4 linked regions of the Tamandua tetradactyla genome follow. The protein of the gene in region 1 interacts with the protein of each later gene in a pairwise test. Links are inferred from orthologs where the notes say so. Each region holds a gene or a part of one and is shown on either strand. Other genes may lie near its edges.

Region 1 (7,746 bases):
AAGCAGAAGGAGGCTAATTTTGACATTGTATCTGGAACTCGTTACAAAGGAAATGGAGGTGTATATGGCTGGGATTTGAAGAGAAAAATAATCAGCCGTGGAGCCAATTTTATAACTCAGATTTTGCTGAGACCGGGAGCATCTGATTTGACAGGAAGCTTCAGATTATACCGAAAGGAAGTTCTACAGAAATTAATAGAAAAATGTGTTTCTAAGGGGTATGTCTTCCAGATGGAGATGATTGTTCGGGCAAGACAGATGAATTATACAGTTGGCGAGGTTCCAATATCATTTGTGGATCGTGTTTATGGTGAATCCAAGTTGGGAGGAAACGAAATAGTCTCTTTCTTGAAAGGATTATTGACTCTTTTTGCTACTACTTAAAAGAAAGTTACTCATTTACACTTATCATGTTCATTTCAATTTAAACAAAAAAGAAGGCTGGTTGCTGATTTTTATAAAATGTACTCTTAGAGCATAAACTGTAAGGTAAGGTAAATTTCATGTAAATCTTTTTTTCTGAAGAAACTCCCATTTTATATTTTAAATTAGAAAAATGAACAGTTTCCTCAATTTCATTTTTATTTTGCTGTATTGAGATCTATAAATAAATGTATGATTTTTTGCACAAAAAAAAGGTATATCTACATCCATAGAGTTTTAAAGTAAGGGGTAGATAACTGTTTATTCTCATGGTTTCCATGAGAAGAGATTTCCTCAACCTCCCACACTCCCACCTTTCTCTAGAAGTGACCTAAAGGGGGTTGAAGCAGGAGCTGAGCAGGCTTGGCCTAGCTCCTTGTCTTTTTTCCCTCTTTGAATCTGTTTGCAGAGGGAATGATTTCTCAGCATCTCCCAGCTACATGTAAGCTTAGCCAGTAGGTTCTGAAGGGGAGAGGTAGGCATACCTCAAGGGTTAGGAACGTGTTCAATTCAAGGGAAGGCAAGCAAATCAACTGACGATTGCTAAACCATTCCCTCTAACATGGTTTATAAAACTAATAAAGGTGACATTTTGGTCCCAGGGTTCTGACTCCTGTATCTTTCTACCGGTTCTGTATAGGTTTTGAAATTGGCAAGGAGAATTTGTATTGTCCTAAAATTTCAACAAGAAAGAAAAAATAATGAGTTTGCTTTGTTTTTGTTTTTGTTTTTTAGGTACAAAGAGTAAGTAAAGTGAACTATTTTTTCCTTTCCTTACCACTGTCAACAAGAGGAGAAATGTCCTACATACACCAAAATTCCTCAATTGTACTGTTATCATGCTGTTAACTTTTAATTTTGAAGCAATAAAATCCATAATAAGGACCCATATTATATTTAGAATCCTAAACGATGCTATTAAGATTTTTTTTCTAACATAGGAATTTTCAATCTTAATGAGTTAAAAATTTATATGAGAGGACTTCTGGGAAGATGGCCAAATAGAGTAGCTCAAGATTAGCCCTGCTTCAGGGAAAAATTAGAGAAGGGACAGGAGAGCGACTGAGGCAGCGATTCAGGAGTGAGGCTGACCTGGGAGAGCATTTTGCACCACAGAGGGCAGCCCTAGTTGCAGAGGCCGAGGAACTGAGAGGTAGAAACCTGGAGACTGGCGAGGAGACACAGAACCCATGGGAGTGCACGGACAGGAGCAGGGGACTAGGAAGTAAGCCGGGCCACATTCCTTGGGTGCATACCCTCACCAGTGCAGCCTCGTGACCGGTGACTCACCCCACACCCCACGCACCCGAACCCCGTCATACGCTCCCATTTCCCGGGCTCCAGGCACCCCCACCCAACCATCCCTCAGTGCATGTACCTGCCCCACACTTCACCCCAACTGCAGCACATTTCACCTCTCCTGGCACCCCTCCCGAGCACTACCTCCCCCTCCCTGTTCCCTGCAGGCTGTTGCCAGCGCATAAAGGCTGCCAGCACTACCCTCCATACCCAGGCTACCCCTGCCCCCCTGCCCATAGTGTCGTACAGCTTCACCCCACACCCCCTCAAGCTCTGTGCATCAGTTTAAGCACTCCTAGACCCAAGCACAGACAGAAGATAAACAAGGATATAGAGAAGTTAAATAATTTGATAAATGAATTAGACCTAACACACATATACAGGTCAGTGTACCTCAAAGTACAAGGTTATACTTTCTTTTCTAGTGCTCATGGAACATTCTCCAGGATAGATCATATTCTGGGGCATAAAACAAGTCTTAATAAATATAAAAATAATGAAATTATTCAAAGCACTTTCTCTGATCACAATGGGATGACCTGGATCTCAATAACCACCAAAGGAACGAGAACATTCACAAATACATGGAGATTAAATAACACACTCTTAAACAACCAGTGGGTCAAAGAAGAAATTGCTAAAGAAATCAGTAGCTATCTAGAGATGAATAAAAATGAAAATACAACTTATCAGAACTTATGGGATGTGGCAAAGGCCGCGCTGAGAGGGAAATTTATTGCCCTAAATGCCTTTATCATAAAAATATATTTAAGCCCTCTAGCCTCCTATATACTGGAGCAGCTAGAAGTAAAAATCTGAGAGGATCGTATCACAGCCCATGACACACTCGGGGATCTGTCCTATAACCACTTGTTGAAGAGTGCTTTGAAAACTATTGCTTTTTTATTTCTTTGCTTTGTATATATGTTATACTATATAATTTAAAAAGTTTAAAAGAAATTACCCTTCATCCCATTAAAATAATTAATTTTTAAATATTCCTGTGGTGATAATTTCTTGATATACAACACAAAAACTCAGTGCTATTCCACCTCTCCTGAACTACAACCCCTTCTAACCTTTAATAATACCCCTCCTTGTTTAAAGAATGTACTTGTATCCCAGTATCTTCATAAATTTCAATCAACTAAGTTACACAAGGTCATAACAAATCTGCTATGATCTCAAATTACCTTTATTATTTATTTTTATATAGACACAGAAAAAAGAGAACACAGCATGTCTATCCCAATTATCCTCGTTTGAAAATTAGTGGATTCTTCGACAAAGTCAGCAAACTATGGCATGTCACGTGTATTTTTGTATGGCCCAGTAAATGGTATTCATATTTTTAAAAGGCTGGGGAAAAAATCAAGACTATTTTGTAACACATGAAAATTATATGAAGTTCAGGTTTCAGGATCAATTAATAAAATTTTAATGGATACAGCCACACCCATTTCTTTAGTATTACCTAATTCTTTTTTTACACTACAAAAAGAGAGTTCAGTAGTTGCAACAGACACTACACAGGCAATGAAGACAAAAATATGTCCTATTTGGTCCTTTACAGATAAAGTTTGCCAATCCCTAATCTATGTCATACACCATGCCATTCATAATTTTATAGTTTTACCTAGGAATTTTCTCCCTTTTCCCTCTATAGTCAGTGTACAGTCTCCTTAATAAGCTATTGGTCTCCAGACAAACATTCTTCATAGTCTTGGACATGGACCCCCTCCAGGGAATCTCCTTAGTCTAACAGCATCCCCAGTCATGTATAAACAAAAGGCGAGTAAGGATTGCTTTCCGAACTTAACCATGTAACACCTTAGAAGTTACAAATGCACAACAACAACAAAACAGAATCAACCTTCTTCATCATCCTTCTCCCTCCAAAGCAAGGCTAAAGAGGCTGTTCTCCCAGCTAGTGGCTTTCAAACTACCCTAACGAAGAATTAAGTTTTGTTACCTGGAACAAGTACTACTGCTAAAGTCCCTAAGGCCAAATAATAAGAATACAAATTAATGATCATAATTTTCTCAAGTATAATTTTATCAAGTTTTTCTCCAGATCTTTGGGTACCACACATACACACACACACAAAGTGATCAAAAAGCAGAGGATCTTTAAGAAAAAAAATAGACGAACTGTATTTAGCATGTGCGACCCTAAATTTTTACACTTCACATATTTGATTCTATTTTCCGCAAGTAAATAGTTTCTGGCTCCCACGATGAGAGGCTCTACATTACAATGTTTGTATAGCATCCCAACTCAAGACTGGAACAAGCTAGATTCCTTCCTCTCCAAGAAGGGTACACCAAAATTTGCTCATGATCTCTTTCAATCAACATTCTGCTCGCCAAGCGTTGGGAGCGGGGCAAACTGCCTTCTTCTCTACCAGCAGTTTCATACTCATCCTAGCACTAACTCCTCCCCAGCCCTACCACAACTCTACCCAGCACGAGCTCCTTCACAGCCCCAGCTCCTTCCCAGCCCCAATATCACTACTCGGCACCAACTCCTCCCCAGTCTCGCCACACCTCGATCCTGCAGATTCCCCCCCCACCCCCAGGCCCATCACCTCACCCCACTGTAACAAAGTCCCGACCTGCGGAGCTTCCAGCTGCAGAAAGGGTAGAGTGTGGAGTTCCCGTACAAGCACCATCTGACCTTTCAGAGAAACCCAAGTCACAGTCCCATAAGTGGAAAGGACCGGCCTTGGCTCGCACCAATAATGGGTGCGTACGGAGAGCTTGCAGCGGTCGTGCTCCAAGCGAGGCGCAAGGGATACAAAGGTGAGCAGCAGAGACCTGAAATACCAACTCTCCGACTCTCACTCCAGCGGGAGAGGAGTATCATTTCGAAAAAGCCCGCCAAACCAGAGGCGCGAGGAACAGCTCTTGAAGTACACGGGAGCGAGAATTTAATCCCTGAATGTTAAAAGGCTAAAACTCAAGTAGTCGGAAGTGACGTGCGAGCTGCGAATTGCAGGTCCGCCACGTAATTGGCCACCGCCTCAACAAGCCACTTTCTCTTCGGACTTGCCTGAAGAAAGGGAAAGTGTGGCTGAAAGCCCACAATCCGCCCCTGTCCCGCCCCCCGACTCCCAGCGCCACCGGGGAGCCGCGGAGGCTGGCCAGGGCCCTAGCCCGCAGCGTGGGCAGGGCTGTCTCGCCGGACCAAGAGGCCGTCCAGCGCCCTGCGGGCAATGGGCTTCGGCGCTCAACCACGCGCATGCGCGGCCCTCTTTCTCCAGAGGATTCCTCGGGTCACCTGCACGCCGGCATCTCCGCCACCTGCCCCTCCAGGTCCCTTCTCGTCCTTGACTCCTCCCACTGGTTCTCACCTCCGGCCCCATTTCTTCTCCTTCTTCCGCAGGCCCCGCTAGGCCCTGCCACGGCCGCCCGCGGACACCCGGCTTTCGCTCGACACGAGCCACTCGGCGCGGCGCGGCTTCCGCTTCCGGCGAGTATTGTGTCGCGCTGCGGGGCGGGGGCGGGGGGAGGAGAAAGGAGGGAGGCAGCGCTCCGGTGGCTCCGCGCCCCGCAGTCCCGGACCCGAAGCCGGGAAGGTAGGTGCTGTCCCGCCGCCGGTCCCAGACCCCGGGGCCTTCCCCGCCGGCCGGCTCCGCACGCCGCGTCCCAGCGCCCCGCGACTGCGTCACCGGTCCCCCTCACGTAACCACTGCTGCCTCCCCCCGCCTCAGGCCGGGGCGGACGTTTTGCCGCCCCGGCGACGTCAGCGCGTCCGGCGTTGCTTGGCTACCCCGTGGTTCCCCCGTCCCGCTGCCGCTCGCCTCCCCGGGTGAAACTCCGACGCCGTCACCGCCGGTCTCGGCTGCGTCATAGCAGCGGGCATCCCACCTTCACGTCACACCTCCTCACCTGGACACGCATCCTTCCCTCCCCCGCCAACCATGACGTTTCTTGCCCACCCCCTCCAATCCCTCTGCGCCAGATCTGGCGGGAGAACGTGGAGACGGGGGTGGGACAGAGTTGTGGACCACGCTCAGGAGAGGGTCGCAAGGTGGGACCTTGGACAGTGGTAGAAACAGAACGTCGGCGTCCCACAAGTTTGCCTGTCTACTGACACACAAAGCATAGAGGAAGAGGAAGGACCAACCCAGAGGCACCCAAGGCATCATTATGCCTGTAGCTCCAAGTCCTCTTCATACTTCCCTGACCCTTTATCCATTTCTTTTTCACATAACTTCTCCGTTCCCTCTGCCAGTCTAAATCCATCCTGGCCCCTAATGTTGCATACAGTTCAACCCCAGGTGAGGAGGTCGCCTAATTTCTAGAAGATTGAGGACTAATGTCTAGTCAAGGTTGGATTCCCATAGGTAAAGAAAAATCGTCTGACTGAACTTCGGTCCTGATGCTGGGGGAAGAAATTCATGTTCAAAGAACTTAACAAGCTCCTACTCCAAATTAAACATTTTCATATGTACCATCAATACATACAAGAATAATCTTTGGTAACTCACCCATTACATGTTCACTTGCCTCTCAGCAGATATACCTGCTAAATTTCCTTCCTTTATTGGGTCTTGGGGGGTGGGGGGAGGATGGACAGGATGAGTACAGAGAAATTATTCATGAATAGGAGTGTTACCATTTTAGGGATGGAGTAGCCTTCTGCTTTATAAATACCTTAGATGCATTTTCAGTTCTTTTGAGGTTTCACTTAAGGGAGGTTTTAATTACCTCTTTACTTTTCTTTCTCCGAATTCCCAACCACTTCAGAATTTATTACTTGGAGACACTATTTCCAAGGAATTAGTTATGAATAGCTATCATGAAAGTCATTGCTGAATAATTAGAGTAGAATCATCAGCTCTTTCAATAAGTTATTGGCTTTGGCTCAATATTGTACTTTCTAGTTGCCATGAATTTATCACTTTTTAGCATTTCTAAATACCCAAATTTACACGTACAGGAATGGATGTTCTGTGAATCATTTCATTCTAAGAAGAGGGCCCAGTTCTCTAAGCTATTCTGATAAAACAAAGAATAATTTCAAACTTTCTTGTAAAGGAGATACTACCCTCACACACCCATTCCATTCATTACTCTTTGAAAGAATGAGAAGAATGGTTGAAAATCAAGATAGACCCCAGTGAAATATAGTAATAAAATTCTTCTGTAACATTAACTTCAGATTTAATTTAATATCTTAACTCTAACGACAGCTTTTATTGTCACAAACTCCTTTCTCATCTGTTAGAATAATATGTCAAACTACGGATATATTGGTCTGGAATTACTGGTTCTAAGATATAAGTAGAATGTGCCTGCATCAGGAACACACTGCTTGGGTTGGGAGAAGCCTTTGTTTTTAACAAGAGAAAGCAGAGGTAAGAGACAGAAGATTGGGGGGAGGTGGGGAGTAGTCTGTTTGGCAAATAGTAAAAAAAAAAAAAAAAAAAAGATTTAGGTTGATGGCTGGGAGTCACAAGTTTGGAAATAGAGAAACAAAATAAAAGTTGAATCTAGAGGAAGAGAAGATGGGAAATACTAAGATGGGACTAAACTTAGAGATAGGGTTTAATGTGGGGGTAAATGTCAGACCAGGGATGCAAAAAAATTAAACCTTCAACTAATATTTTTCTTTTCTCTGTGCCCCCTCCCCATTCCCAAGTTAAATAATGGCAGAGACAAGTCTGTTAGAAGCTGGGGCCTCTGCGGCCTCAACAGCTGCAGCTCTGGAGAACTTACAGGTGGAGGCAAGCTGTTCTGTGTGCCTTGAGTACCTGAAGGAGCCTGTCATCATTGAGTGTGGGCACAACTTCTGCAAAGCCTGCATCACCCGTTGGTGGGAAGACCTGGAGAGGGACTTCCCTTGTCCTGTGTGTCGAAAGACATCCCGCTACCGCAGTCTCCGGCCTAATCGACAACTAGGCAGTATGGTTGAAATCGCCAAGCAGCTCCAGGCCGTCAAGCGAAAAATCCGGGATGAGAACCTCTGTCCCCAGCACCATGAGGCCCTGAGCCTTTTCTGCTATGAGGATCAGGAGC
Region 2 (7,371 bases), about 75 Mb from region 1:
AGAAGAAAGTCTCAACGTGGTGGTGGTCTTTATTACACCTCCAGATGACTTGCTATCTCTGGCTCCCTCCATTTCTTATGCTTACTTTAAAAAAAAAAAAACAGCTCTATTGAGAAATAATTCATAAGCCATGCAACTGACCCATTTAATATGTACAATTCAATGGTTTTAGTGTATTCACAGATATGTGCAACTATCACCACAATTTCAGAATGCTTTTATCAAAAAAGAAACCCTGTGCCCAGCAGCAGTCACTGCCCAAATCCCCCACCCCCAGCCCCTGGCAACCACTAATCTACTTTCTGTCTGTGTGGATTTGCCTATTCTGGATACTTCATACAAATGGAATCATACAATGTGACTGATTTTGTGACTGGCTTCTTCCACTTAGCACTATGTTTTCAAGCTTCATCCATGTCATAGCATGTATCAGTACTTCACTCCTTTTTAATGGCTGAATAGTCCATTGCATGCAAACACTACATTTTGTTTAACCATCCATCAATTGATGGGCATTTGGGTTGATTCCACTTTTAGGCTATCATGAATAATGCTGCTATGAACATTCGTATGTGAATTTTTGTGTGGATGTATGTCTTCATTTCTCTTGGGTATATTCTTGGAAGTGAAATCACTGGGTCATATTAGAACTCACATTTTGAGGAACTGCCAAAGCAGCTGTTTTCCAAAAAGGCTGTACCATTTTACATCCCTACCAGCAGTGTCTGATGTTTGCAATTTCTCCATAATGTCTTCTGCACTTGTTACTCTTTTAAATTTCAGCCTTTCTAGTGACTGTGAAATTCTATCTCATTACATGTGTGTATTTTAAGATGCAATTCATAAAATTAACCATTTTGAAGTGTACAATTCAGTGATATTTGATACATTCACGATGCCGTGAAACTGCTACTTCCAAAATATTATCATCACCCCAAAAATCTCATTGTGATTTTGATTTGCATTTCTTAATGGCTAATGATGCTGAGCATCTTTTCATGTGCTTATTAGCCATTCCTACATCTTCTTCAGAGAAATGCCTATTCAGATCTTTTGTCAATTTCTTAATCGGTTTATCTGTCTTTTTATTGTTGAGTTGTAAGAGTTCTATACATAGTCTGCATACAAGACCCTTATCAGATATATGATTTGTTTTCTCCCACTCTGCAGGTTGTCTTTTTACTTTGGCAGTGTCCACTGAAGCACAGAAGTGCTTAATAATTTAAATTTTAAGCACAGAAGTGCTTAAAAATTAAGTGCTTCTTAATTTTAATGAAGTCCAATTTATTTATTTTTCCTTTGGTAGCTTGTGCTTTTGGTGTCATATCTATGCAGGCTTTGACTAGCCCAATATCAGGGCTACATACTCCTATATTTTCTTCTGAAAGTGTTTTGCTCTCCATTTCTTTCTAAATAAACAGAGCAGAGTTAAAGCTTAAAGCCTTCAGCAAGCAATGGCAGCTAGCTAGATGCAACTAACATTTTGCACTGCCTTGACATGTATTTTTACTTTACAGAGTTTCTGGTTTTCCATATGCTGCACAGATACAGAGTTCCTTTTAAAATAAATTCATTTAAATAAAAAAGTGGGCCACCTAAAGAAAAGTATCAAGGAATAATGGTACAGGAGGAATATGAACACAGCATCCTGTTGACGGCAGAAAACTCAAGCTTGAGAAATTACTGGCATAGAGTCTGCAGGCTCAAGTTCCGGATTAATCAGGCCTGAATCCCACTTTGTCCCTTTGCACAAGTGGCTTCCCCTTTCTGTACTTTAGGAGAACAAACCAACCTTACAGAGTATCAGAATTTCAAGGTACAACACAAACAATAACCAGGTATATAGTCAGTATCCAATGAAATGATACTCAGGCCTCCAAGTGATACTTTATCTTACTTCCATTTTCTACACTGCATTCCGTCTTGCCTATATGTAGTCAATTTAATCTCTCTCTACAAATTGATTCGTGGGTTTACGCTAGGTGGACAGGAAAAACAGCATCAGCTTTGAGGCCAGACACACCTGAGAACAAGCCCACTGCTGCCACATCCTATTGGCAAGATCGTGGGCCTCAGTTTCCTCCACTGTTTAAGGATAATCAGCCTAACCTATCAGATGAATACAGGACACATAAATCCCTTCTACTCAAAGTGTAGTCCTCAGATCTGCAACATAGCTCATGAATTTGTTAGGAATGCAGGGTTGGGCATCCAAACCAGACTACTGAATCAGAATCTGCACTTTAATAAGACCCCCAAGTTATGAGCATTAAAATTTAAGAGACCCTGATGTAAATTAGTCAACAAAAACATATGATTCCTAGTAAATGTTCAACAAGGACTGGTGGTGGTGGTGTTTACAGCCCAACGTCTGCAACTCATTAGCTGAATTTCTTCAACCTAAAATAGGAAAATAATAGTACCGCATTCAAAGGATTGTTCCGAGCATTAAATGAGCTAACGCACGTAAAGCACTCAAAACAGCGCGTAGCATGCCGGAAAGGCTCAATGGACTATGTAACACGAGCTGTTAATATTTTTAACGTGTCTGCACTACCTACCGCCAACAGAAGCCGCACTTGCGGCGCCTCGGACCTCCCAGGGAGGGAGAAATTCCCACAGCTGAGAGTCCAAGCAGAGGCCGCCCCCTACCTTCCAGGTCCCTCCCTGGGTTCGGGAGAACCAGCCAGGAGGTCTTGGGGCGCCCCCCATGTCGGGCAGAGAGCCCGAGGCCCACACTCACGCTCTCCAGCACGTCATAATTGGCCTTGATCTGGGCCTCGATTTCATCTTTGCGCCGCATCAGCTCCTGGATGTCACTAACTGTCACCTCGCGGGCCTGCGGAGAGTCTCTGCTCGCCTTAGCTTCCTTCTCCGACATCTCTAACAGAGGCCCCAGAGCTGAACAAGCCGCTCCGCTTCTGCGGACCACCTGGGAGACTGTGGCTACGGCTCCGCCCGCGGGCCAAAACACCACAGCCGCAAAGCCCTGCGAGGATTGGCAAGGGCAAGGTTTCGGTGATGGGGCGGGGTCACAGGAAGCCACACCCTGCTGGAGCACGTGATCCCGGCCCTGCGGGAGACCCGCGCGCGGGTACTCACGCGAAACCGATTCCGGGTCTCGCCCGGGCGCTCAACTCCACCCTGGCAGGGAGCTCTCTACCTAGTTTACTGATTTTCTTTCCTGTTCATTCAACAAGCATTTCTTGAGCGCCTACTGTACATATGTTTCAGAGCACTGTGCAAGGCGCTCCAATTCAGTTTTTCACATCTGCACAGCTCTTGACAGTTCACAAGATACATCCAGGTTCCTTAGGCCTCGTTTTATGGTGAACCGTACAAGCCCGGGCTCAAATTCTTACTCTTACCACCTCCCACAATCTGTGACCTTAGATAAATTGTATCACCCTTCTGAGCCTCAGTTTTCTCATCTGTGAAGTGGTGCAAGGTTGATAGCAATCCATCTCATAGAGCTGTCATCTGCCTCCTATTTGCCATGCATTGTCCAAGATGCTAGAGGGATAAAGAATCAATGAGAAAATGCCTGTAGAGGATTGAACAGCGCGCCTCTCACATATGAAGATATCTATAAGATTTGGTAAAAATAATAGTGATGATAATAGTGATAATTATTTATTGAACATTTACAATGTACCACAGTGTTCTGGATACCTTATAATTATTCATTCAACAACCTCATGAAACTAGTATTATTGCCCCCATTTGATCAATTTACCCAACTAGTAAAACGTGAAGCCAAAATTTCAATTTGCTTAACCAAATACAAATTTAACATCACCAAACTGACGTCACAAGCCCTCATACTCTACACTGAAAAGTACACAGCATGCCCTATGAAGCTTTTTTGCCAAACGTGTTTACCCTGAAACCAAGCATAGGAAAGCAGACAAATCCAGATTGAGAGATATTCTGCAAAACGACTGGCCTGAATTCTCTGAAAAGGTCAATGTTGCAAAACACACACACACGCACATGTGTATGTTTGCACACGCAAACACACAGAGGCTTGGAAATTGCCCGAAGTAAAGGAGGCTACAGAGGCCACAACTAAATGTGATCCTTGGTTGGAAACTTGGTCCCCTCCCCAAGTGACAAAAAAAAAGCTATAAAGGACATTCTTGGGAAAACTGGGGACATTTGAATAGTATCGATATTACATTTCTTGATTTTGATACCTGTGCTGCAGTTATGTATGAGAATGATCTCAGAAAATGCACTCTGAAATATTTAGGGGCAAATGGTTCAGAAAATAAATGAATATATATTTGTAGAGAGAGAATGATAAGTGTGGCAAAATCAAAATAATCTGTGATGCTGAGTGAAACAAACATGAACATTCTTGGTACTGTTTTTGTAACTTTTCCTTAAGTTTAAAATGATTTCAAAATAAGAAGTTAAAAAAAGCATTTTAACAAAAAAAAGTAGAACCGATTATATCAGGCTTCATTTATTTTGTTCAATTGATCTATTTTAAATAAACTAACATTTTTAACATTCACAAAAAAAAGAAAAGGAGAAAGACAAAACAATTAAATGCAATACATGATCTTTGATACTGGATTTAAAAAAAAAAAAGAGCCACTTTAAAGGACATTATTGTGGGCGGTGTGATGGTGGCTCAGTGGCAGAATTCTCACCTGCCATGCCAGAGACCCGGGTTCAATTCTCAGTGCCTGCCCATGCAAAAAGAAAGAAAGAAAGAAAGAAAAGGACATTATTGGAACAATTGGTAGGACTTGAATATGGACTTGATATTAGATCATAGTATTATATTGATATTAAATTTCCTGAGTAAGGTAGTGGTATTTTGATTATGTAAGAGAATCTTCTTATTAGGAAGGGATAAATGCTGGAGTATTTGGGGGAAACAGCATCATGATTTCTGCAACCAACTTGCAAGTTGTTTAGAAAAACAACTATATATATATATATATATATATATATATATATATATATATAGGTGAAATGTAATGATTAATAAATCTAGGTGAAGGGTCGCTTTGATCTGCTAAAGCTGAGGAAATGCAATATACCAAAAATGTGTTGGCTTTTACAATGGGGATGTCTTACCTTACAAGTTTACAACTCTGAGGCCGTTAAAAATGTCCAAATCAAGGCATGTCCTGCTGGCACTCCAGGATACCTCTGTCACAAGGAAGGCATATGGCAATATCTGCCCGTCTTTCCCTTCCTTCCTAGGTTTCGCTGCTTCCAGTTGCTGGTTTCAGTGGTTTGCTCTTTGAGCATCTGCATGTTTCTCTCTTTTAGCTTCTGTCTCTCTTCTAGTTTCGGGATGTCCTTCTCTATCTTATATCTTTCTTATAAAGGACACCGTTTAGAGGATTAAGCCCCACCTTGAATGAGGTGGGTCACATCTCAACTGAAATAGCCTAACCAAAAGGTCCCACTACAATAATCTACACCCAAGGAATGGATTAAAAGAGCATGATCATTTTGGGGGTATACACAGCTTCCAACCATCACAAGGGTATAGGGAAAATTTTCAAAATAAAAAGAGGAGAGGAGGCGATTCTACCCATGAAGCTAGAAACCGGAGCTATGGCAAATCACTATGCTATGTTGCTCTTGTTGATATGGTTGACACTATTACAATAAACCTAGATCCTGCCCCTTCTGCTGCCTTCATACCTCTCAAATCCACCCACCACATCCGCCTCTCCTCGTGTCCCAGCCAATCCCATCTTTGGCGGATTGCAGCAGCCTCTGAACACGTCTCAGCTTCCAGCCTCACCCCCTTTGCTCCATTTCCCTTACCGCAGCCAGAATAACCTTTCCAAATACCAAGGTTATCTCCTTGATGCTTGAAAGTTTTCCAAGGCGTTCCCATGCCCTCTCCTTAGCCTTCAAGACCCTTCTGACTCCAGCTTGCCTTCGAACATCCCCTCCCCCATCACCTACACACAAACGCATACACACCTTAAGTCCCAGCCATGCTGAACTTCTAGCACTTGTGCGTTGATGGCTCACTCTGTCTTAGCACTGGGCCTTAGCACCTGCTCTTCCACTTCTCCAGAACACCATTTCACGCCAGGCTAACCCAGCATCTCTTTCAAGATTCAGCTCAAACATGATCTCCTTAGGAACCATTCTCTGACCTGCACCTGTTCTCTGCCCTTTTCATTTGATATTGTAAATGCACGTTGACATGTCTGGCCCATGCACTGGGGACTTTTAGAGGACATGAACTAGGGCCTGCTCTCTTCAAGGGTCTGAGTGTTTATTTAATAGACAATCCTAAGGGGAGAGGCTGAGAAAGCCATCTTCACCCCTTCCCCATTCCAATTATGCGGCTCATTACCCACAGCGGCCACAGACAGCCCAGCAAAGCCTTTCCGTTAGCAACCTGCCAAGATCTAAGAGAACTTAAGCTCGCCTCTTGCAAACATATCCCTTGCTCGTTTTCATTTCAGAATGAAAGAGAAGCCAAGAGCTAAGGAAGTGTGAACCCGAGCCAGGGAGCTAGAGCTATCCCAGCTAAGACTTGGCCAGGTCCTGATAATATTACCTGGCTTAAGGACCCACCAAACTTCCCATATTTCACTTCGGACCTGGCCTAGGAGTCAGGTTAACTGATGCATCACCTTCCTTCTCTCGCCATCCTTTCCAGCATCTGTAAGACGAGGGGCTGGGTTCTAACTGGTGACAGGCTGTGTGGGTTGACTCACTCAGAATTTTTAAGATTTTAAATTAGTTGCTGAATCAGTTCAGGGCCTGTATGAGTCAAAGTTCTCTAGGGAAACCAACCAGCAGGATATATTTGTAAATATTATGAAATTTTTATAAGAATTCTCTCATATGGCTGTGGGGTTGGGTGAGTTCAAATTCCATAGGCCAGGCTGCAAAACTGGAACTCCAAGGAAGGCTTTCCATGAATTCCCCGGGAGAAGCTGGCTGGCTGAAATAGAGATGGAAATTCTCCCTTCTGACTGCTGAACTCATCACTTCTCCTTTTAAAGCCTTCAGCTGATTGCATGAGCCTTCTCTCATTGCTGAAGGCCACCTCTTCAGGTGACTGTAGATGTAATCTGCCATACATGCAACCAGCTGGCTGATGATTTAAGTCCACGAAATGACGTCACGGTAATAATCAGACCAGCACTTCCTTGACCAAACAACTGAACACTCTAACCTGGCCAAGTCAAAACGTGCACGTCACCATCACAGGGACCCATCAGGAAACACGGGCCACACTCAAGGGGGCTTTTAATGAACGGGCTATTTACAGAAGCAGAGGTGGGGTTAAGGGGAAAAACTAAGGAAAGACCTGGAGCTGACAATGGTGGGGACCATTACCAGTCCCAGACCTAAAGGGGCAGGGGGAGGGGGCAG
Region 3 (7,626 bases), on another chromosome or scaffold:
TTTTGGAAAATCTCATAGATTTGATCCTTAAACCCCCGGCTCAACATTTCATCTGCTTCATCCAAAACAAACATTTTGATCCATTTTGGAGCTGTTAAAAAAATATAAAGGTCATACTATCATCCCTAGATTTTCATGGTTACAATGGACTTTTACCCACCCGACCTAGCAATATTGCATTAAGGACAATACTTACAAAGGTATCTTCTGTTTAACATATCAAACACTCTCCCTGGAGTACCAACAACAATGTGTGGTGCTTCTGCCTGCAGTTTTTGCATTTCATTTCGAACATTGGTTCCACCAATACAGGCGTGACAAGTTGCTCCCATATAGTCTCCAAGAGCCAGAATTACTTTTTGAATCTAAAAATCAAAAGCCTCAATTATTATCCACTAAATTCATAGGCTCTACTAACTTCCAAAACATTTCAACTATCTGGTCTGTAGTTTTGCATGCATAGCACATAACTATCTCCAAGCTTAAAGTGCAGACTGAACAAGTGTTTTAAGATTAAATTTCTGTAAACTGCCTCATTCTTGTACTTGGTCAAAGCTGGAATCCCTATTTCCCGAAAGTACCAATTAGATAATTAAAGAACTGAAAATTTTCTACATTAGTCCTCACGAGTAGGGGGTGATGTAAACAGTCAAACAAGCTCTGCAATTACATCTAATATCATATTATTGATACTTTATAAAATCTCTTCCCATGGGGATACTGTGTCTGGACCTTAATAAAACCTGCTTTATTAGGAAAGTTTACTTCAAAGCCAATATAGCAGTGAGCTTTGAAAACAATAGCATGCAACAGATGCATCACAAACTACTGAGACAGTCAAATAACATGTCACTGCAGTTTTCATGTTGCACAACTGCATTCAAACTTAAAAATGGACACAAATCTAGTGTGCTCGGAATAGAATGCTTTGGCTTATCATCTGTTGGAATACAACCCTGCAAACTGTACCTGTAAACTCAGTTCCTATTTAACTTTCAACAAAAACTCTGCATGCATGGACAACAAGAGTGCCCTGATAGGAGCAATTTATACTGTTTTAAAGTCTTCACAGTTGTGAAACCTGAAACCTATGCAACACGCAAGCAGTTTTTTTGAACTACACTATCAATACCTGTTGAGCCAGTTCTCTGGTGGGGGCCAATACTAGTGCTTGGGTCTCCTTGAACTCAATCTCCAACTGTTGCAGGATGGAAATAGCAAATGTGGCTGTCTTGCCAGTACCTGACTGAGCTTGAGCAATCACATCATACCCTAAAAAAAGTAGGATACATATTTACCGATCCCACATCAAATTGTCACTTCTAGTTCATACCATGTATTCCATTTGGAAAATGAACTATGCCCAAACAAATAAGTGATCAGCAATGAGTATTCTCTTCATTTCAGGTCAGTCCCGAAAGATGATTGCCATCATTTCACTTTAAGGAATACACATACGTGCTAGTCCCCAAGAGATTATTTTCCCTTTTATGGTCCAGGTGCACGCTGAACAATATTCCACTACTTTATGAACACCCGAGTTTTCCTTTACCTTTAATACAGGGAATAATAGCTCTCTGCTGAATAGCTGAAGGCTTCTCAAAACCATAAGCATAGATACCCCGAAGAAGAGATTCTTTTAAATTCATATCATCAAAGTTATCAACAATCTCATTCCAGTTGCTCTGTGAGTTTAAAAAAAAAAAAAAAAGGGCAGGAGTAAATGGGATGAACAAACTCACCTTTCCAGAGTTTCAAAAACCACACTCGTTTCTTACCTCGATGACACCATCGGGGTCCATTCCCTCTGGGCCGCCATGTTCTCTGCTGACAAGAACACCGCGGTTAGAGAAAATCCCTTAAGCCACCGTAACTCAACTGCACCTTAAGGGAATAGCCCTTTTACAGGTAACACTTAACCTCGCCTGTCATCGCACAGTACCCTCTCCTACGTATGTAATTTTCTAATATTTATCCAACTGGAGGTGCAGGTCAAACACACCATGTTCCTTTCCTGAATGGTGAAGTACGTCCGAGGCCCGCACGCGAAGCCCAGACACTGGCCTCTCACTCCAGCCCAGAAGAGAGCTCCCGTTTGGCGGTGGGGCCTCTCGCGAGAGCTTCAACGTTGCGCTCCGCCCCTTACACTGCGCAAGCCACTGTGATTGACACGGTGAAAGAGGCCTGAGGAAGTCTATGCTAACGGTTCGCCCGGACCCTCGTCCTCGGTGCAGCCCCATCCGCCTTCTGCTAGGGCCGAGTGGAAGCTGCCGCCACCCTTCCCCCATTCAAAACCCAGGAACTCAATTCGCGCCGCTGGCCGCACATAAAACTTCCGGTCCCCGTTACACAGAACACAAACCGGACTGCGCCACAGCTTTAAATTAACTAAATGTTTACTGTGCTCAGCGCAAGGGGAGGTGAAAACTGTCATTTCATAACGTCCTTGAAAGGAAAAAAAAGGCGCTTTTTAACCGATCTATTCTCCTGCCCCCGTCTTGTCTCCCTATAATCCGGAACATTAACCATTATGGAAGCTTCCCGAAGGGCACAGGATACTGTACCCCTAAAGATACACCTATGAATTTGGCGTTCCTTACGGGGAAGCCATCTACTACAACCTCCCCTCGTCCCAACACGACCTTCACCACAAACTACTGCCACCAAAAGAGGGCCATACCTGTTGTAATCCGCAGAGCCACCAGACATGATCCGAAAAGCCACTCAGCGCCCGACTGAAAAGACAGCAGAACCGCGCTACCCGTTTTTTATAGGCTCGCGGCCGGAACCCGTTTCCTGCGGAGGAATTTTCTCGTCGCTCTTCGATCGGCCACAAAACTGTGATCCTGAAGCTCCTACCTCATGTAAAACCTTGAGAAAGTACTGGGGGGGAATCCATATTTTGTCATTCTTCGATATTCCAGGGTTGAGGGAATTCCCAGAACCCTTGGGAAGGGCCGGGACTCTTTGCTAAGCGGCGGAAGAATATTGCAGCAAGGGATAGTCAGAGCCCGTTCTCCGTGCCCGCCCTCCTCCTACGGGGTTTCCACGTCCTTGCCGCAGAGGCGGGCCCGAGGGATCGGGGAGGGGCCGAGAGGCGGAAGCGGCTTCCCTGTGGGCGAGTGCGGCCGGGCGAGCACGTTTGCTGCGCATCCTCAGGTGTAGCGGCGACCGCGACACGCGCGTTATGCAGCGAGCCCACGGTCCTTTTACCTGTGTGCATCGCCGTTTAATTTGGTGATAGAAAGTCGCTCGTCCTTTAGCCCAAGGGTTTAGCATCCAGTCAGGTCATCAGAGTGTGAAACTCTTGCTGGGGAAAATGTCGGCATCCCAGCGCGTCCCAAAAAGTCAGGTTTACCAACGAGAAGAAGGTCGTATGTCATTTGCAAGTGTCTCTGGAATAGCCAACTCTGCTTTCCCCGTGTTGCTTCTGGCCTTCTCTCGTTCTCTTTTTAAAATAATGCTGATAGTTGTAACGTAGCAGGTATACGGAATGCCGGGGAGAAATCAGTGTAAACTTTTGTAAATGATTAAAAGCTTAGGGAGAGTGGTTTATAATGCAGGTTTTAAATGGGTGCTTCTAGCACCTTCAGCTCCACGCCGATTTGGAACTAGATGTTTTCATTTCGGTCTATATTGGTCATCTTTTTAAAAGTCTTTCAGTTTTTGAATACTTATGCAGGATGAATGATAAGCTGTTGAAATCGAGAGCGACCGTCTTTGCTACTTAAAGAAATTGCATGATTTTTTAAGCTCCAAAGGTTTTCAGCTGTTGCCCAATCTATCCCCGTTGGTAAAAATAAAAACTACGTTTTGTCGTGTAACTTTAAAGTATAGTCCTTCTGCCAGCACTGCAAGCTAGCATCCCGAATACTCAGGAAAACATTCTCATTAATTCAAAAGGCCAGCCTAAAATCTGATTACTAGAAAAACTGACAACCACTTTTATATATTTTAGAAAATATTTGGCTCTGAATACCACGTGTGTGTTTTGTTTTACAGGACACCATTTATTTTTTTGATATTATGGTGCCAGGAACTGTCACAAAAATTAAAAGGCAGGGAGATGACAAAGTTGACCTGGCCCCCAGTCTAATGACTGCTCATCGTCGGCCCTCAGCCCCGTACGCCCTGCTCCCCTGGTCCCTAGAGGTTTTAAATGGTCTCATCCAAAATCTAAAAATAGCCTGGGATTTAAGAAACTGGTGAAAGTGTTAAATCAGGACAGTGGCAAATCATTTAGTTTTAAGATGAAACCAATCCATCCTAGGGTGAAGTCATAAACAATTAACACCTAATTGCTGAGTGTTTTCTTTAGGTTAAGTGTTAAGGCTAAATGCTACCCATCTCTTAAGAGGAAACAATCAAGAGCTAAATTCTAGAGTTTGTAAGTGCTGGAGAGGTTTTGAAGTAAAAAAAATTTCATTATAGAGTGTAAAGCCAGACCCACAAATGCCTGCAACCCTACACTATATTTCCAATAAACCCTGTGCTTACCAGCTTGCATTTCATCCTTGTTTGAAAAGGTAAACTTTCCTGCTTGCCTAGGATCTAAAATTAGATAGCCTTCTCAAATGCTTTTGGACCAACATGGAATGTGTGAGACCACTTACAGTTGTGATGCTAAAAATTAAAGACTATTTCCTTATATGAGCCATCTAGTTTATTTTTTTATCTTCAGTAGTCTCAGCAGACAATTCTAAACCCATCTAGGCGTTGTATGTCTTGGAACCATCTATCAGTTGTAAGCTGGTGTTTACCAGAGGAACCAAGAAATTATTACAAATTCATCCCTACTTAATGGAAACCCATTACAGCCTTAAAAGAGTATATTTTATATTGGTAGTGACATCTTTCTATAAACGGTGTCTTATCTTAAAGGGATATTTGTGCATCATCTTGGGGCCCATATTATTGTAAGTCCATCAGTCAATTTTCAGTGATAACTACACACTTAAAAAGCAGTACCTTGCCAATCTATTGATAAGCAGAATTTTGTTAAGGTGTATGTTTTGGACCTTTCACTCTTTATTAATTATTAATGTTATTTAGCCAGTAAGTCCCTACATCTATAATTTAACTGATTAAAAAGTATTGCCTAAAGCTAAACAGTGACAGGAGTGCAATTCACCTCTTTTTATTATCTGTTGCTGGAGGAAATCAGTGGCTAAATCTGTTTATGTGTAGAAACTGTCCACAGAAGCAATGTGGAGGGTGGCACGTACTACCATGTCCTTCACAGGAGTTTTAAAAACCATTTGCATGAAAATAAAGACAAAATGGTTGAAGGGAATGGTGAAAATTGGGGGTAGGACCATGGAAAGGCCTGTCGAACTCTGTAAGGACTGGATTTGGGTCCCTTTGCTCAAGGTCATTAAACTACTGTGTAACTAAGAGATGGAGGTATTTCTGCCTCTACCTTTACAGAGACTAAAATAAAGTGACAATATTGTACTTCAAATTAAATTGAAAATTGTGGAATGCATAAAAATCAATGAAAAGATCTGTTCAAAATGCAGATACTTGTGGACTGGGCCCTACCACCCACCCTCCCCCACCCAGATTCACTTGATCTGATCTGAGGTAGGGCCAGCTTTTTATTTGGAAAGTTTTTAAACCTACAGAAAAGTTCCAAGAATAATGTAACAAATGCCAAATTCTTGCTGCATCTACCAATTGATAGGTTTACTATGTTTACTCTTTCTCTCGTATTTATGACTTTTTGCTGACCCTTTTGAGTCACATTCATGGTGACACTTCGGCTTTTATCTTAAAAACGGATATCGTTTCATAAAACCAAGAAAATGCTATTATACCCAATAAATTAACTATTGATATGATGATATTCCCAACAAAGCTATCTATATTCAAAATTTCTGAAATGTCCCAATAATATACTTTATGGCTTTAAAAAGAAATCTAGGATCCCATCAAGCATCACGTATTGCATTTCATTGCCCAGTCTCCTTTAATCTAGAGCAGTAGTTACCCTCTACTATTTTTCTTTTATGACACTGATGTTTTTGAAGATTCCAGACCAGCTTGTTTTTGTTTTAAAATGTCCCGTAATCTGAATTTGTTGTTTTTTTTCGCTTCATTGTTAGATTCAGGTTAAACACATGTTTGGAAAGAATAGTAATTGTAGTTGGTAAAGTTTCCCTTTCAGTTCATTCCATCAGGAAGTACACAATGTCAGATTTCCCTTTACTCCGGTATGATTTTTTTTTTAAATATTTTTATTGACAAATCTTCACACACATACATTTCACCATATGATTTTTTTTTTTTAGGTGCATGGCCCAGGAATCGAACTCAGGTCTCCTGCATGGAAGGTGATCATTCTACCACTGAATCACCTGTGCGCCCTGTGTACAATCAGAAGTTCACAATATCATCATAATGCTGTACATTCATCATCACAGTCAATTTTTGAACATGTTCATTCTCCAAAAAAAATAAAAATAAGAGTAAAAGTAAAAAAGAACACCCAAAACATCCCATTCCCCCACACCCTCCTATTATTCATTTCTTTTTTCTTACTCATCAGTCCATACATTCAATAAAGGGAGTGTCAGTCACAAGGTTTACACAAGGTTTTAGTCACACCTTGAAAGCTCTAAAGTTATTCATGAATCAAGGCTACGATATGGCAGTTCAACAGTTTCAGGTATTTCCCTGTAGCTACCACAGTACACCCAAAACTGAAAAGGGATTTTTTTTTTGCATAAGCGTAACGTCCAAACTCTCAGCCACTGAAACATATCAACTCTAATTCTATATTTGAGCTGCTAAAACCATCAACAACAAGCAAGAATTAATTATATTGGATGACAGTTCAACAGTTTCAGGTATTTCCCTCTAGCTAGTGCAGTACAACCAAAACTGAAAAGGGATATCGATATTCTGCATAAGAATAACCTCCAGAATGGCCACTTGGCTGTGTTTGAAATATCTCAGCCACTGAAACTTATCAATGCTGATCCTTTATCTGAGCTATTAAAACCATCAACAACAAGCAAGAAATAATTATTAAGGTGTATAGGGTAGTGCTGGGCCCTTGCAAGCATTAAGATTAAAAGGGCACAATTCTCACTTTGGATACAGTTGAGAAAGTAAAATAAAAAGAGAAGAAATAACTTAGAAAATTTATCAATTAGGTTAACAAAGATTAGAAAGTTTGACAATACTTAGTGGGCAAACAGATACTGTAGTACTTTTGGTGGACGTTTAAACTAGTGTAATATTTTTTAGGATATTCTGGCAATATGAAGAATTAAAATGCACATGTCCTTTGACCCAACACGTCCAGTTAGGTATTTTATCCTATACGTGAACTATCACAAGAATCCTTTCCTCTACCCTACCTTTACTATATCCTCGACTTCTGCAATCAACAAGCATATTCCCTTTCTCAGTATTTTAACAACAAAATACTAGAAACAAGTAAATGTCTATAAAAAAGATATTGGTTAAATAAATTGTACGCCATGCATATACTTAGCCGTTAAAAAGAGGTCCACTTCTCTAAGCCTACCTATAGTTATGAATAAGAATTACTTCCAGAGGATCTCTTCTATTGCTCAGATGTGACCTCTTTCTTTCTAAGCCCAACTCTGAAATTGAAAT
Region 4 (7,901 bases), on another chromosome or scaffold:
ACAGGACGACACAACATGAGGGGGACCATCAGGATGAAGTACACGTGAAAGCACCCCAAGGTCTTAAGGAATTGATGGGACCTAAGGGAAGTGCTCCTCTCTCCCCGTCCATGGAATGCTCAGCCCACATTGTCTCTAACAGCACGGCAGTTTCATTTACTGAGCGCCCACTGTGTGTCAGGCACCAGGTGTGATGCTGGCTATGATTTAACAGGTTTATTTCCCATAACCAGCCCCCGAGGGAGGTCTTCAGCTCCCCTTTCCACAAACCAGAGGCTCACAGAAGTGTGGGCCACACATGCGCTTGGTCAAGCTGTGGAGGGGCCAGGGGGCCCACCAGCAATGAACCCCCATTCCTGCCAAGGGGAGAAGGAGCACGTTATTCCTCTCCCCTCTGCCCTGCAAAATCAGAGCTGTCGCTCTCCCCTTAAGATGGGAGGTTTTATAATCTACTGGACTCTTAGCATAAAAGGACCTGGCAGCACTCAACATTTCTAGTCCTTTCTCCCAATCTGATCTCACCCACCTGTCTTGCCTTCCTGTGTCCCTCAAGATCCTCTACGAACCCCAGGAGCTCAAGTCATCTTTGTTCCTCTCTAGAACCTTCTCAGGACCCAAATTCCTCCCACTCTTCTCTGATCCGCCATCCACAGGGTAGCCCTTTTCTCTTATCTCCTGCTTTCCAACCAACCCCATCTCTCTCCTGTCCTCTCCAAAGCACCTCAAGGGTCTAAGAGCTTGGGGTAGAAGATGTGTCAGGTAGACCCACCCAAGCCCCCTCTGATGTTCAGATCTTTCTATAAAAACAACTTCCTAAAACATCACTTATGGCCCTTCCTCGATTCTTCTCTGCTGAGCTGTCAGAGGGAGCCTTCAAAAACCTAAGCCAGCTCTTGTCACTCACCTCTGCACAAAACCCTTCTTACCCCTGTAGATTAAGACCCTAAAGTCATCCCATGGCTCACGAGGCTCGCTGGACCCCGTCCCTCGCTCATTCCTCTCCATCCATAATGCTCTCCAGGCTACGCTTCCAGGTACCCTGATGGTTCTCACCTATAACCTCTGAAACTTTCTGTCTGCGGGTAGGATGAGGAAAAGGCGTCTGGGAAGGGCTGGGGTTGCTGCAGGGAGATACGGAGGGGCTCAATATCCAAATGGCCAAGTCTCTCTCCATCCAGGTTTTGGCACAAACATCACCTTCTCAGAGAGGGGCTTCCAGGGCACCTGATGATCCTCTCTGCCATGCACCATCCCTAACTTGGAATATTTTTCTTCAATGCCCTGAGTACCACCTAATCTTTCCTCATATATTTATCCATTTGTGTACTCATTGCCACCCCCACTACAAGTCCCCCCACTTAGTCGTGGTCAATGTGTGGCACATGGGAGCACATACACCCCCTGCCCAAAGTCTCCAGACACGTCACAGAGGCCTGGATTGCATACCACATCCCCTCCCCTCCAGGCTTCCCTCTCCTCCCTTCTCCTCCTACAGCCTCAGTCTTGACACAATCACTATCCCCATAGGCCCATCTCCTTCCCGTCACACACAGTCCCAACTGTCACAGCACTCCCCACTCCACCCATTATTTTTTTTAATAAATGAAAGGAACCCCTTGTCTTGCCCACCACTCTCCCTCTCTCTCCCCAGCTCCTATCAAGCTGCCCTCCCCTCCCTCCTCAGGCACCTGATTCCTGACAAAAGCAGGTTCTTCCCTCTGAGAAACTGTCTGCTCTGCTTCCGTCTCTCATTCTGCTTGGCACTCTCTTCCCAAAAAATCCCCAATCCGTTCTGCTTGGCACTCTCTTCCCAAAAAATCCCCAATCCTCGTGACAGATGACTTGTCCTTACCATATCTCTGCCCTCCCTTCCCCACCCCCATCACCTTCCGATGCCTTCTTCAACACCCCTTCCTGCCACCTCTGCATCCTCGATGCCCCTGCCTCTTCACAATCCTCCATTACTCCCCACAGACCCTTCCCCATGCTGACATCTCTGTCGCTCTCCCCCCATTCCCCAGCTGATCTTCCTTTTCAGGTCCACAACCCCTCTCCACTTCTTCACAAACCCCTCCAGGACACTGGCTCCTCACACACCCTCCTTCTCTCCACTGGCCCCTCACATACCCTCCTCCTTGCTGAGTGTCCAGTCTTGCACCAGGCTCTTCTCCTCTTCCAGCTCTCTCTAGACAAGTTTCAGAAGCCTTCCCTCGAATTTCCTCCCGTCTGACTCATCCATCAGATGCAAGGCCCCCATTTCCTTCCCAGCACAGACACCCCCAGCTCCCCTCACCAATCTCCTCCCAGAACTTCCTCAGCCTCTAGGAGCAAGCACCCCAATTCACCCAAACCTCCCAAGTCACTACCAACCCTTCCAACAACCGCCTCAGGCTCCCTGGGCTTCCAGACTCTTTCCTCTCCCACCCCGTACTCCATGCATTCCAGGGCCCCAAATCTCTTCCCACTGTCCCTGAGCTTGACAACGACTCCTCCGGACCCCACCTGTACTTGCTTCTCTAGGGTCAGCCTCGATCTGTGGTCACAGAGACTTCTCCAAATCATCTCTGCCCCTTCAGGGCTCCCTCCCCGTCCCCAACTCTGCTTAGGACTCACACCCACTTCACCCCCTGAGATATCGCGACTGACCCCTCTCCTTGCAGCCCCACCCCCGAGGTCTCGCCCCTCCCGCACCGCCCCCTAGATATCACCCTCCCGCTTTACTACCTCACCTCGTACCTGCCCCCGGGCCTCGCCCTTCCACCCGACTCCCCGCCGCCCAGCTCAGCCCTTCGAGAGCTCGGACCCCTCTCCCGCCCCTGCGCCCGTTACGCACCCCACAGGGTCTGTGAGCTTCTGACCGGGCCCTGCGCTCTTGAACTTGATGTCTGCCTTGATCTCCTGGAAGAATTTCTTCATGGTGGCGGCGGGCCCAGCGGCGGGGAGCCGCGGGGCGCGGGGGCGCACGGCCCAGTCGGGGAGGGGCCTGCCGGAGCCAACTACCGGAAAGAAAACACTACGCCGCCGGAAGTCCCGCCTTCGCGCGGCCGCCCACGTGACAATCGGCCCGGCGCACCAATCTAGCTCTGAGTGCCCAGTCGTCCCAGAGCGACGCTCTACACTCAAGAACCACATCTCGGTGGTTCTTCCGGACTCCGTTGCTAGGGGCGACGAGCGCGCTTCTCGCTGGAGGTTGCGTCTGGGCGACCTTCCCTGCGTCCGCCGCGGAGTGGGAGAGAGAGGTTGGCTGGTCCCCGCGGAGAAAGCTGTGGCCCTGTCCTCCTTGCTCAAGAGCCTTCCCTGACTCCCCAGTGCCTACGTGATAAGGTCGCAGTTCAACCAGGCATCCAGGGACCCTACAATCCACCCCAGTTTTTAGCCCTAGCAGCCCCTCGTGCTGTAGAAGAAGACAGCGAACTCGGGGCTGGGGGTCCACGATGGCGGACGAGAGAAAGAGAGAAGCAGGTTAAGGAGGACTTTCGTGCTGGATTGGGCTGTGACCACAAAGGACACCCAGCCTGACAGCTGAAATAAACCTTGGCAAACGAGTAGGAGTGAGGGAGACAAGGAGAGTGTGGGAGAGGAAGGTCTCCCGACCAGGAAAAAGTCTGCGCAGAGCCTGGAAGCGAAGTATCATGGGTTTTCTCCAGAAAATGAAAGAGTCCCGGCGCGGGCGTGATAAGGGATGGGAAGAGATAGTTCCGGACGATTTTGATCCCAAAGAGCCTTAAATTAAGGAGATTGGCGATTATTTTAAGGGATTTAAAGGAGAATTTAGTGCAACCCAAACTTTAACATTTCTGAACTCCAGATTCATAACACCAACCCCACGCAATTACAGAGTTGTCCATGAATGGCAGATGTCATAACGATGAATTCCTTTAACATTTCTTCAGAACTCATTTCTGTACCAGCAGTGAGGAAAACAGATCAAATTCCCTGCCCTGGTGAGCTCAGGATATTTTTGAGAAGGGTGGGGAAGGAAGATAGACAATACCATAAATAAATACAATCTGAAGTAGGTTAGATGGGATTTGGTGTGCTAGAGAAAAAGTGGAAAACAGAAATAGAGGAGAACAGGGTGATAGGGTGAAACAGTTTGCAACATCAAATAAGGGAGTCCAGAATGGTCAAAGGACATTTTTGGCGCCATTGGGGAAATTTGTTTATGTCTCAGGTACTAGATAATATAAAGGAGACAGTTCTAATTTTGTTTGCGGTGGCACTGGCATGATAGTTGTACTAAAGAAAAATGCATTCTGCGTTAGTTATGGGTGAAATAATGTGACAGATGAACAGTGTTGTAAATACTTCTGCAAAACAAATCTAAACATTCATATATATTTTGTAAATATATACATATGTGTATATATATTTTGTACAATGTTTGTATAATTTACGTATATATACAAACTGTATGTATATGGAAGGGAAATAAGAAACAAGATTGGTCAAACTTTGTCCACCACGAAACTGGGTGATAGGATGTGAGAGATTTTTTATGTTATTCCCACCGTATTTTATTACCAAAAAATGTTTTTAAATTCAGTGTCTTTGATTGTGGTCACTTGTTTGCAGTGTTTTAGTAGTGATTTGTTTTTTTTATGGTAGTGATGGTGGTGTTAACTTTTTGAGTTATAACTTATAGATATTAAAGTGCACAAATTCCAAGTGTACGGATCAGTGAATTTTTAACTTGTATATGTCTGTGCAATCATCAACTAGCTAAAGATACAGAACATTTCCAGGTCCCAAGCTGTGAGCCTCCCTGAGCCCATCTCCGTCAAAGCCTCTTTTTTTTTTTAAAGCAATTCTATTGAGATATATTCACACAGCATACAATCCATCCAAAGTATACAATCGATGGCTCACAGTATCATCAAATATTTCATCACATTTAATTTCTTTTATCATTACATAGTTGTGATCGTCACGTGATCATTTTTAGAACACTTGCATCACTCCAGAAAAAGAAGTAAAAAGAAAAAAAACATAATCCCATGCCCCTTAACCCTCCCTCTCATTGATCACTAGTATTGCAATCTACCCATTTTTTTTTACACCTTACCCACCTCCCACCAGTATTTATTTATTGTCCTTATTTTCTTACTTATCTCTCCATACCCTGGATAAAGGGAGCATCAGACACAAGGTTTCCACCATCACATGGTCACATTGTAAATGCTGTATAGTCAAAGCCTCTTTTAAAGGCTCCAGCTTCCATTCCCATAGTAGAGTTTTACTTGTTTTTGAAAGTCATCTGAAAGGGATCATATAGTATGTACTTTTTTGTGTGTCTGGCTTCTTTTGCTGAACGCTATGTCTTTGAGCTTCATCCATATTGCAGCCTGAGGCAGCAGTTCAGTCTTATTCGTGACTGAGTCATATTCCATGATAGAAAGACACCAAAATTCACGTATTTGACTGTTGATGGACAGAACACAATGGCTAGTCTGGAGCCATTACGAATAAAGCTGCTATGAACAACATATCATTTTTCTGTGACTGTTGTAAACAATCAGCACCAATTTAGTGGCTTAAAACAACAGAAATTTATCTCAGAATTCTGGGGGTCAGACGTCTGAAATTGAGGTGTCAGTAGGAATGAGCTCCCTCCAAAGGCTCTGATGTGAGGTGGGGGCTAGGGGGTGGGAAGCAATCCGCTCCTTGCCTCTTCTAGCTTCTGGTGGGTACCAGCCATCCTTGGCATTCCTTGGCTTGTACCTGCATCCCTCCAAAGTCTGCCTCCACCTTCACATCACCTTCGCCTCTGGGTGTCTGTCTCAAAACTCCCTCTGCATGTCTCAAAACTGCCTCTGTATTTGATCACATTTAAGGCTCACCCAGATAATCCAGGATAATCTGCTCCACTCAAGGGCTTGAAAAAAAAGCACATCTTTTTTCCATGCAAGGCAACAGCCACAAGTTCCAAGGACTAGGAAGTGCCCAAGATATTTTGGGGGGACCATTTCCAACCTACCACAATCCACTTATATGTTTCATTTGAAGCAGTTTGGTTGCATTTCTGTAGTCTACAGCCAGAAGTGGAGTGGCTGGGTTATGTAATGAGCCACACAGAACTTTTCCAAGAGACTGTCAGATGCTTTTCTCAAGGGGTTTTACCATTATGACCATTCCCCCCTCCCCCCACACATGGATGAGACTTCCGCAGCCTTGTCAGCACTTGATATTCACCATTCCCTTTCATTTTAGCCCTTCTGGGGTGTATCCAGTGCTATGGTCTTGATTTTTCTGGTGAGTAATAATAAAGATACCGATTTATATGCCTGTTGTTCACCTGGCTAGCCTCTTGGGTAAAGTGCCTGTTTCAGTCTTTTGCCCATTTATTAAGAGTCAGGTTCTCTCTCTTTTCTTGTAATTATCTGGTCTGAGTTCTGCATGAGTCCTTTGTCCACTATGCATGTTGTAAATATTTGCTGTCAGTCTACCGCTTGTCTTTTGTATAAATTTATTTAATAAATTATTATTTGGCATAGTAATTAGTTATTAGAGTAGTTGTAGGTTGACAGCAAAATCATGCAGAGAATACAGAGTTCCCATATACCCCCATCCACCACTACCCCCCGCCCCCACACACATATCTTCAATTTTCCTTGTTTTGAACATTTTGCATTAGTGTGGTGCCTTTGTTACAACACATGAACCAACATCATCATCATTATAGTATTCACTCCATCACTTGTCTTTTCACACTCACCAGCGCCTTTGGTTCGGGTGGTAAAATAAACATAACGTAATATTCAGAAGCATTTTAACCATTCCAAGTAGAAATTGAACCTGGGTCTCCAGGCATGGCAGGCGAAAATTCTACCACTGAGCCACTGTTGCACCACTTCCTGCTGTCTTCTGAGGACTGGAAGGCCAAGCAGTGGAGCCCCTGGACCTCTCGGGCTCTACAAGCACTGTGGAAGACTTTTTGATGGTGTCGGCTGAAACTGAGCACACCCATATATAAGGCCCACCAGCTCGCGCCTGGGGCCCATAGCCAACAGGTACGCTGCACATTTGCACACCAAACACTTGTACCCAGTGTTCATAGCAGTATTATTATTCATGGAAGCCCCAACTGGAAACAACCCAAATTTCCATTAACAGTGGGATGAATAGATAATTAGTAGTTTATTGACACAAGGGAATGCTGCACCACGATTAAAAGAAAAGAATGAACTCCTGCCTACGTGCAACAGGCATTATTAATGACTCACAAGTATATTGAAGAAAAACCACATGTGAAAATATGCAGGTGATGGTTCCATTTATCTACAAATAAAAAATAGTCCGTTGATTCTATCTTAGAAGGCAGGATAGGGATTGTTTGGCGGTGGGGCGGGGGGAGGAAGGAGGATTTGTGGAGTAATTAGGAAGGGGCCTCTGGAATGTTCCAAGTCTTGACCTGGGTGGTGAATGCCTGGATGGATTCGTTTTGTGCTAATTCATCGTGCCGTGCCCATTCTGATTTTCAGACTTTTCCATGTGTGTGTTATACTTTGAAAATTTCATTTATTTGAGATTTACTTACACTTGCATACATTGGGGGAAGGAATTTATTTAAGCAAAAACCCCAAGGAAGTGAAAGAGTGAGCTGTGAGGGTATGTGCTGGTTTGAAAATATTATGTATTTCCCAAAAGCCATGTTTTAATCCTGATCCAATCTTGTGAGGGCAGTCGTTTCTTTTAATCCTGATTCAGTACTGTAGGTTGGAAACTTGATTAGAGCCACGAGAGGCACCAGAACTGACAGAGCCAACAGAACAGACAAAGCCCTGGGGAAGCCACTGAAGAGAAAGCTAGCAGATCTTGCCATGTGCCTCTCCAGCTGAGAGAGAAACTCTGAATGTCACTGGCAATCATGTGACACACCCAATTGTGGGTGTGGCCTTTGA

Evidence for each region.
Region 2: the proteins of TRIM39 (region 1) and PSMD9 interact in binary tests that used the Homo sapiens proteins (3 or more experiments, as listed by UniProt). The two-hybrid records come from large-scale screens. The link is inferred for Tamandua tetradactyla from reciprocal best matches to the Homo sapiens genes TRIM39 and PSMD9.
Region 3: the proteins of TRIM39 (region 1) and EIF4A2 interact in binary tests that used the Homo sapiens proteins (3 or more experiments, as listed by UniProt). The two-hybrid records come from large-scale screens. The link is inferred for Tamandua tetradactyla from reciprocal best matches to the Homo sapiens genes TRIM39 and EIF4A2.
Region 4: the proteins of TRIM39 (region 1) and UBXN6 interact in binary tests that used the Homo sapiens proteins (3 or more experiments, as listed by UniProt). The link is inferred for Tamandua tetradactyla from reciprocal best matches to the Homo sapiens genes TRIM39 and UBXN6.

The regions. Positions count from the first base shown.
Region 1 is NC_135331.1:85,289,130-85,296,875, forward strand, and holds the start of TRIM39 (E3 ubiquitin-protein ligase TRIM39), read left to right. Parts: upstream 1-4,732; 5' UTR 4,733-5,300; exon of another isoform or gene 5,301-6,206; intron 6,207-6,955; 5' UTR 6,956-7,085; intron 7,086-7,369; 5' UTR 7,370-7,376; coding exon 7,377-7,746.
Region 2 is NC_135331.1:10,050,528-10,057,898, forward strand, and holds the start of PSMD9 (26S proteasome non-ATPase regulatory subunit 9), read right to left. Parts: upstream 3,016-7,371; 5' UTR 2,882-3,015; coding exon 2,744-2,881; intron 1-2,743. UniProt on the Homo sapiens protein: Acts as a chaperone during the assembly of the 26S proteasome, specifically of the base subcomplex of the PA700/19S regulatory complex (RC).
Region 3 is NC_135336.1:5,774,075-5,781,700, reverse strand, and holds the start of EIF4A2 (eukaryotic initiation factor 4A-II), read right to left. Parts: upstream 3,010-7,626; 5' UTR 2,710-3,009; coding exon 2,681-2,709; intron 1,828-2,680; coding exon 1,779-1,827; intron 1,686-1,778; coding exon 1,553-1,685; intron 1,443-1,552; exon of another isoform or gene 1,374-1,442; intron 1,273-1,373; coding exon 1,133-1,272; intron 366-1,132; coding exon 197-365; intron 92-196; coding exon 1-91. UniProt on the Homo sapiens protein: ATP-dependent RNA helicase which is a subunit of the eIF4F complex involved in cap recognition and is required for mRNA binding to ribosome.
Region 4 is NC_135337.1:77,655,753-77,663,653, reverse strand, and holds the start of UBXN6 (UBX domain-containing protein 6), read right to left. Parts: upstream 3,011-7,901; 5' UTR 2,917-3,010; coding exon 2,834-2,916; intron 1-2,833. UniProt on the Homo sapiens protein: May negatively regulate the ATPase activity of VCP, an ATP-driven segregase that associates with different cofactors to control a wide variety of cellular processes.